Linked DNA regions of Sus scrofa. The protein of the gene in region 2 purifies or fractionates together with the protein of the main gene of each other region. This does not show direct contact. Links are inferred from orthologs where the notes say so. Each region holds a gene or a part of one and is shown on either strand. Other genes may lie near its edges. The genes, in order: PFDN5 and GNB1.

Region 1 (4,469 bases), on a different chromosome or scaffold from region 2:
CTCCAGGTACAGCCAAAGCTTTACTTGCCAGTAGATAGCTAGTTAGGGCTTTATTTCTTTCCTGTGTGTTCATTTACATGCATCTTTTTCCCTATTCCATCTACATTAAATAGGATCTCAAACACAAAAACACAGATGGGATTTCCTTTCTCTAAATTTCTCAAGCACTGAACCCAGGAATCTAGAAATAGCGGATATGTGATGCACAGCATCTAAAGAATAATACATCAAGACACCAAAGAGAAAACCATGGTTTTAATCCAACAAAGGGGACACCCGCCATGGTTCACGCTGCAATTCATGTTCTTGATTATTATGGAGGTAGAAATGGTGAAGAGGTGCCCAAGGCCAAGCTTACCCTGTTTCATGGCATGCTTCTCCTGCAGAGCTGGCTGGATTTTCTCCATTTGCTTGGTGAGGAAGTCTATCTTCCTCTTGAAGAAGTCCTTGGCATCTTCAGCTGTCTGGAAGGTCAGAGGTGAAGGAGGGGCTAAGAGGAGACCTCTTTGTGCACTCTGGATCTCTCCCTAAACTCCCTCTGCCTCCTCAGCGGGGCATCCATACGCTTCCTTCCACTCACCTTCTCTACATAGTAGCCAGTTCCCACATCGATGAGCACATGTTCCACATCATGCAACTTCCCAGGGACGTACATCTGAGAAGCGAGGATTAAGGGAAAACTAGCCCAGCATGAGTCCTGATTTCCTGTCGGCTCATCTGCTTGACCTCCTAAGAACCCCTTTTTCTAAAAACTTAAAAGGTACCGGGATCAGATAATCTGGAGGCCTACACACTCCAAAGGGGAGACACAGGGAAGTTGGTTCCTTATGGAGAAAATTACACATGCTGATCTTGCCCTGATCTCACTGCCACCCTCCAAGAAGTTCTTAGAGTTCTTCCCATTAGCCCTTCCAGAAAGACTAGATGGCTTTTTTTATTGTCTTTTTTAGGGCTGCACCCGCGGCATATGGAGGTTCCCAGGCTAGGGGTCAAATCGGAGCTGTAGCCACCGGCCTATGCCAGAGCCACAGCAACGCGGGATCCGAGCCGGGTCTGCAACCTACACCACAGCTCACGGCCACGCCGAATCCTTAACCCACTGAGCAAGGCCAGGGATCAAATCCGCAACCTCATGGTTCCTAGTCGGATTCATCAACCACTGAGTCATGATGGGAACTCCATAAAGACTAGATGCAGTGTTTCTTTTTTCTTTTTAGGGCCACACCTGCAGCATATGGAAGATCCTAGGCTAGGGGTTGATTCGGAGCTGCAGCTGCCAGCCTACACCACAGCTCACGGCAACACCAGATCCCCAACCCAGCGAGGGAGGCCAGGGTTAGTAGTGGATTGTTTCTGCTGCGCCACAATGGGAACTCCTGGAATGATTTTTCCTGATGCTGTTAAATAGTAAAAGTGAAAAGCCAGCCTCATTTCTCCTTTAACACTCCCAACCATGAAGTAGGTCATTCCCAATAGATTTAATGTTCCTTATCTAAGCAGTCCCTACTATGCGGCTATTCCTGTGTTTCTTTTTCAGCCTATCAATTCTCAGGTGCAGTTTATAGGTGCCCTGTTAACACAATTGGCTCATTCAAGTAAAACACTCAACAGATAGACACAATCCAGGCTTCTCAGTAACAACGGATTAGAAATAAGATCCACAATTAAACTAAAATTGAAGATTAATAAACAGAGCCAACCCCCTTGTCTCTATATCCTCTCTTCTTCCACTGCTTCTGTTTTCTAAGTTATTAGTAAAAAGGGTAGGGAGCTCCTGCTGCGGTGCAGCAGGTTAAAGACCCAGTGTTGTCTCTGAGGTGGCTCAGATTCAATCCCTGGCCCCGGAACTTCCACATGCTGCGGGTGAGGCAAAAGAACCCAAAAAACAAGTCAAAAGTGTAAACCACCAGTTTTATCTCCCTATTAGATTATATCCTCAAACAGCGAAGGAAAAAAATCACACCTCAATTCTACATACACCTTGGTGCTCACCAAACATTAGCTGGATGTTGGCTCCAATGAGATAGCAGAGCTACGAAGTGTGTACTGAGTATTCTCAGAATCTCTGGAGCAATTAGAACCTCTGCCCTTTTTTGCAGGGTAGGGGGTGAAGGAGAAAAGGAGTGGGCGGGGAAACAGTTCCTGCAGAAAGGATACAGAACTCGTCAGTGGGACGAGTAATTCTTTCCCTGTGAAAGCAATTAAGACAGACATGTAGGGAAGGTGGACTTCTCCAGCCTTTACACGTTCAAGGGAGTTTCAGCACCGCACAGCGCCCAGAGACTGTGCGATAAGTATGGAAATAGGGGCAACAGGAGAAGAATGTCCTGTACATTTCAAGTCTACCAAGGCAACATGCAAAGGGCTCCTGCAGCAGTATGCAATACGTAAAGGACCGTTCTCTCGTCTCAGATAAGGACAACTGGATAAGGAAGAGAGAGGAAAAGCCGGCTCGCCCCAACCCCCAGCTTGCCTTCACGCGCCTACCGCATACCCTCGTTGCTCTTGTTCAGCACGTTCAGACAGTCCTTGGCTTCCACATACTTGGTCTGTACCACCTTGAGCTGGGCAATGGACGTGGACAAGAACTCCACTTCCTAGAGAGAAGAGGAATGAGGGTTAGTACGGGGGCTGGTGGGAGAGGAGGGCACCGCCGGGAAGGGGCGGGTGCTGGGACCGAGTCGGGGTTTTGCCTGGGAAGGGAAACCTCCTCCCTCGGCTGGGGAAGAATGGGGAGCGAGGGAGTACGCGTGGCGGGAAGGAAGTGAGGTGGAAAGGGGTGTCTTTGGGGGCCTATTCCCACCTGGTCCAGCTGGTTCTTGAGCATTTCCAGCTGCGGCAGATTCAGCTCGGTAATGTTAACCGACTGCGCCATGTTGGGAAGGAGGACTAACGAAGCGGAAGCCGCCGGGTGAGCAACGCTCTAGCCGTCCTCTGCGCCTCTCGATGGCTACGCCGGGAGGCCTCGCTGCCCCCGACATCTCTATGGTCTTCCGTCCGGGAGCGGAGGAAGAGCTGGGTCTTCTCTGTGATTTACTTGCGTTGGAGTGGAAGAGACAGCGGCGCTTTCTTTTTTAAAGACCGAACTGGAGGCATATGGAGGTTCGTAAGCTGGGGGTCGAACTGGAACTGCAGCTACCGGCTTAAGCCACAGCAGCGCGGGATCCGAGCTGTGTCTGCGACCTACACCACAGCTCACTGCAACGGCCGATTCTTAACCCACTTAAATAAGGACTGGGATCGAGCCCGCAACCTCATGGATACTAGTCCGGTTCCTTATCGCTGAGCCACGATAGGAACTCCCAGGAGCGCTTTCATTACACAAAACATCCCAAGCCTAGCGTCGACAAGTTGCAGCAAACAGGATTCCTGTGAATTTAAGAATCTTTTTTTTTTTTGTCTTTTTGTTGTTGTTGTTGTTGTTATTGTTGTTGTTGTTGCTATTTCTTGGGCCGCTCCCCGCGGCACATGGAGGTTCCCAGGCTAGGGGTTGAATCGGAGCTGTAGCCACCGGCCTACGCCAGAGCCACAGCAACGCGGGATCCGAGCCGCGTCTGCAACCTACACCACAGCTCACGGCAACGCCGGATCGTTAACCCACTGAGCAAGGGCAGGGACCGAACCCGCAACCTCACGGTTCCTAGTCGGATTCGTTAACCACTGCGCCACGACGGGAACTCCTGAATTTAAGAATCTTAAAAAGAGTTCCCGTCGTGGCTCAGCAGAAACGAGTCTGGCTAGCATCTATGAGGACGCTGGTTCGCTCCCTGGTCTCGCTCAGCGGGTTAAAGATCCAGCATTGCCTGTGAGCTGTGGTGTAGGTCTCAGACGCGGCTGGGATCCCACGTTACTGTGGCTGTGGTCCGCAGCTACAGCTCCAATTTGACCCTTAGCCTGGGAACCTCCAAATGCTGCGGGTGCGCCCCCAAAAAGACCAAAAAAAAAAAAAAGTAAACCATGTGGGTGATATAAACCCTAGTGACAACTGGCAAGGAAGGAAGAAGCTTGTTAAGTTCTCTGGTCGTAAAAGGAGGCTTTGGGCAGATGAAGCGGGACTAGAGATGGAGTGGAGATGAGTGGGTGGAGAGAACACAAAGGAGGTACCTCATCAACCAACAAACACAGCAACAGGTTTGTTACTCAATAGTGTTACCATGTGCTAGAAGTGAGGAATACTGCTAAAGTGTATAGCACTGACAGCTTTAACAGTTGTATGTGGGGAGAACAGCAGCCTCTAGCATCCAGTTAGAAAGGGGACAGGACAACTGAGGCATTACAGCTAGTGTCACTCCCCAGATTCTGGAGGGCAGGAACACAGGATAGACATCAGAGTACCTGGCCAAGACTCTCTCTCGCTCTTTTTTTTTTTGTCTTTTTTTTTAGGTCCGCACTTGCAGCATAATGGAAAAGCTGTAGCCACAGCTGAGCCACACCTGCAAGCTACATTGCGACTCAACAGCAACACTGAT
Region 2 (4,160 bases):
TGTCAGGCTGGGGCACCAAAGCGAACAGGGGCCACTCGAGGGTAGCCAGCCCTTGCCGAGGCTGTGCAGCCTGGGCTCTGCCGTGGGCGGCCAGCGGCAGGATAACTGCTTGCTTCCCAACCCCAGGAGACCCTCCCTCCCAAGGACCAAGGCTCCGGCCCAGGGAGCACCTTGCACGGCCTCTGGCATTTTGTAAGACAGCTGGCAGTGCCAAAACTTGCAAGGAACGGGATGGTTCCAGAGGCAAGTGGGGGAAGAGGCTGAAGCCAGGCGAGCCCACTGTTCAGGCTGTGAGTCCTGGCAGGAGCACCCAGGAGACCCCTGCAGACGTGCTGACCCCGCCGGCCCTCCCCTGCGGACAGAGCCAGGAGGACCCTCGCTTCCCCCACTCCCTGGGGTCACGAAGAGGGGGCACAGGGCCCTCGTCACACACACTGAAGTTTCTGTTTCTCACGCGTGCTGGCAGATGCTCTTCCTCTTACAAGGCTGTACAGTTCTTCTCTGGAGACCAAGACGTGGCCCTGGCACAGGGTGGGATGCCTGTCCCTGGAGGAACGGCCACAGCGTCTCAGGGCGGAAGAGGAAGGACACACCACCAGTGGGGGCGCAGGCTCAGGGAGGGGAAGGTAGGTGGGACACGGGGGAGACTCCACTGCCCTGGGCACGGCCAGGGAGGCGGGATGAGAGGAGGGCTGGCCGAGGCACTGCCGCGCGATTGGACGGGGCCACCGGGGGAGGGCGACAACCTCCAGGAACTGAAGCGGCCCCACAAACGAGCAGCCACAGCAAAGTCCCTCATGTCAAACTGCTTTATTACATCTTAAATAACAGTACAGTTGGATATAGGATCTATCTCGCATCCAGCTTCCTGGCAGTACACGGACTTAAAAATTAAATACAAAAGGAGAAGGGCAGGGTGCAGAGAGCTCTACGGAGGAGGCGCCGACAGGGGAGGGGCGCGTCCCACCCGCTGCAGGCCCAGGCCAACCGCGCCAGCAGTTTGCACAGGATGTTGCAAACACAGGATGGAGAAGCTGCTGCTGCTGCTGCGGGAGCGCTTGGGTGCAGGGGGAGGCCGGCCGCTGTCCAGACGCTGCTGCTCAATCCTGGGCCCGACCCCAAACCAGGGAGGTCCGCTTGTTAGAAAGGGTTGGCCTCAGATGCCAGAGGCTGGTTCCCAGGGAGGGCCAGGCCGTGCAGAACTCACAGCGTGAGGCTGAGGTCTCGATCCCCGCACTCCCCGCCCCAATCCGACAGCAATCGCTTGGAACAGGACTTGATTTTTAAAGAAAGAAAGAAAACAGTGACTTATCCCGCTGCTTGAGCGTGTGGAACCGCTAACTGCGCGGCTTCCGATGCGATGCGTGTGCACAGAGGAGCAGCGCTAAGTGGACAGAGCTGCAACGGTTACAATTTTCAAGAGGTTATTTCTTAAAAGAAAAGGAACATCTAAGGACTGAGTCCTGTATGCACTTTTGAGCATTTCTACAGCATGCGATTCTAAGAGTAAACCCACCCAATATGGCAAACAATCAACTTTTTTAAAATTTAACTTAGAAAGTTTGAGATCATTATTTTCAAAACATTAATTTGTACACTGCTTCATACACAGATAACGGACCGACTATCCAAGCACAGACGGGCACCTCTCTGGCAAACAGACTCCTGACGGCTGCGGTGGGACTCGGGGTCATGATGCGCTCCTGTTCGATGCCCCCACTGTCGCCAGGAGACCCCAGGTGAGACTAAAAGCTGAGCTAGAGGGCAGAGAGGGCCGGGCCGGCCGGGCGGGACGAAGAGGTGCCTGACGGGCGTCCGCAGAGCGTGAGAGCCTCGGCTTCTCAGCATCCTCCTCCTCCTCCTCCTCCTCGGCCGTGTTCGTGCGCAATCATCACGTGACACTAGACGCCAAGTAAAAAATCTAGGGACTAAATGTACATCGTTAACAATGGCAGAGAGGCTGCGCTAGACCCTCTTTCTCTGTTTAACTACGGAACAGAAAGGAATATATGTTAAGAAAGAAATGCGAAGGTTTGCAAAATCCTGTTACAAACACCATCTGCAGTTCAGAGTCCATTACAAGATGCGGCCCCAGCCGGTTCTGCCTAAACATCACAAAACAGGGTCACTCATCTTGACTCCAAAGAAATGAGTGAAAAGGTGTGTCTGTCTCACAATTACACTCAAGTTTACCTTCTGGTTAATGTTTTTATTATTGTATTTCCTTTTCAATTCATTCAGGACAAAAAAAAACACAAAGGAACAGGAAGAAACAAGAACAGTGGTCCCGCAGGAATGCACACGATTTGCTTAGTTTACAGCACGGAGGCTCTGCTCTCAGTGGGAATTGTGCTCTTGGTTTCGGCAATAGTGAAGGGAGAAGATCTTGCCCTTTGGAAGTCCGGAGGGGGTGCAGGGCGTCCGCGTTAGTGGGTGGGTGGGAAATGCTATCACCGTGACGCTCCCAGGCTGGAAGGGCCTCCCAGTCCCCGCGGCGTCCACCTGCTGCTTTAAACAGAGTTAGAGATGTGAAAAGAAACAGACCCCCACGTGCAGCTCCGTCCTCACCACGGCTCCGAATGCTGCCCTCACCCCGCATCGGATTCCAAAACCCCCGCATCAGAGCTCATCGAGGAACCCTGAACCCCGACTGCACCGGCTCACGAGAAACACAGAGCCGCATGCAGAGGGCGCCTGGCCGCGCGGTACCTGCTGGCGTTAGTTCCAGATCTTAAGGAAGCTGTCCCAGGATCCCGTCGCCACGGCCATCCCATCGTCCGTCACCCCCAGGCAGCTGACGCGGTTGTCATGCCCAGCCAAGACACCTGAGAGCAAACCCTAGCAGTCGCCCGAGGGCCCGGGGTGGCAGCCCCAGAGCCCCCGGGGCCAGTCTGCAGTGCGCAGTGGCCGGGCAAGGACATGAGGACGGAGAAAGCCTGGTGAGGCGGGTGGGGAGGGACGGGGTGCCTCCTGCAACTCCCGCCAAGGCCAGCGAGGCCGCTGTGCTCCTCTCGCACGGGGGCGGGGGGGGGAACGGGGGGGGGGGACGGGGGGACGGGGACGCGCCCAGGGCCGGGGAAGCCCTCAGACAGAAGGGAGACAGGGCAGAGCGGCTGGGAGTGTGTGTGTGACCACACGACTGAAAGGCACAGACAGTCCCAGAGCCCAGGGCCTCCTGCGCGGACTCCTGAGCACTCACAGCAGTCAACAGCTTCAATAAAAACAGCAGAAGCACAAGAGAAAAAATCCACACCACCCCATCTCGGGGGAGCATCAGGCCAGAGTGATGCCCGCGGCAACCCCAACGTGAGACGGGTCCGCAGTTGCGCGCGGCAGCCTGGTGGGTAATCACCTGGGCAGGGGGAATCTGAGGCCTGGAACCTCAGGGGGCCCTGCCCACCTTGCACGCTCACCAGTGTTGGTGCAGGGGCTGGGGGACCGGTGGGGGCTCGACACAGAGGGGCAGCCACAGGCGGGAGCCCCGCTCTGGCCCTCCACCCTTGCAAGCACTGCCGGCTAAGAGCCGCCGTTCAACTTCTGGCCCCAGGGTCCCTCCTCAGCCCTGGGACCACCTTCCGCACAACCTGCCCCCGAATACACGCGTCAACGGCCCCCCGCCTGCCTCTACTGGGCTCTGCTTTGGCGGGCACGGCGGGGGATGCCTGCCTGGATTCGTGCCCCAACACGAACGACGGGAAGGAGGGAGCAAGGCTGGCCCTGCCACCACCCCTCTGCTGGCCACGTGTCAGGAGATCCTGTGCCTCTGGGAGACCCCGCCTGAGTGCCCCGGAGGCCGGGGAGGCCCCGGCAGCCACCTACCTGCCCTGTCGGCCTTGAGGGCGTCCCAGACGTTGCAGTTGAAGTCGTCGTACCCAGCGAGGAGGAGGCGCCCGCTCTTGGAGAAGGAGACGGAGGTGATCCCGCAGATGATGTTGTCGTGGGAGTAGGTCATGAGCTCCTGATCCGCGCGGAGGTCGAACAGCCTGCAGGTGGCGTCGTCCGAGCCAGTGGCAAAGGCGTTGCCGTTGGGAAAGAACTGCGGAGAACGCACACACGGAAAGTGGGCATGCGCACGCCAGGCGAGCCTGGAGGCAGGGCTGGGTCCCGCGGGCAGGCAGGCCCAGGGCAGGGACCTGCACAGAGCGGTGGGCAGGTGTGCC

What was found.
Region 1: the proteins of GNB1 (region 2) and PFDN5 purify together in Homo sapiens (co-immunoprecipitation; 3 studies listed by BioGRID and IntAct, with this or other methods). This does not show direct contact. The link is inferred for Sus scrofa from reciprocal best matches to the Homo sapiens genes GNB1 and PFDN5.

What each region holds. Positions count from the first base shown.
Region 1 is NC_010447.5:18,511,125-18,515,593, reverse strand, and holds the start of PFDN5 (prefoldin subunit 5), read right to left. Parts: upstream 2,958-4,469; 5' UTR 2,876-2,957; coding exon 2,804-2,875; intron 2,598-2,803; coding exon 2,495-2,597; intron 2,190-2,494; coding exon 2,158-2,189; intron 656-2,157; coding exon 581-655; intron 465-580; coding exon 359-464; intron 1-358. UniProt on the Homo sapiens protein: Binds specifically to cytosolic chaperonin (c-CPN) and transfers target proteins to it. Binds to nascent polypeptide chain and promotes folding in an environment in which there are many competing pathways for nonnative proteins.
Region 2 is NC_010448.4:63,866,364-63,870,523, forward strand, and holds the end of GNB1 (guanine nucleotide-binding protein G(I)/G(S)/G(T) subunit beta-1), read right to left. Parts: intron 4,037-4,160; coding exon 3,820-4,036; intron 2,826-3,819; coding exon 2,719-2,825; 3' UTR 2,710-2,718; intron 2,509-2,709; exon of another isoform or gene 2,506-2,508; 3' UTR 825-2,505; downstream 1-824. Other genes in the region: uncharacterized protein LOC110261347, read left to right, coding at 467-824. UniProt on the Homo sapiens protein: Guanine nucleotide-binding proteins (G proteins) are involved as a modulator or transducer in various transmembrane signaling systems.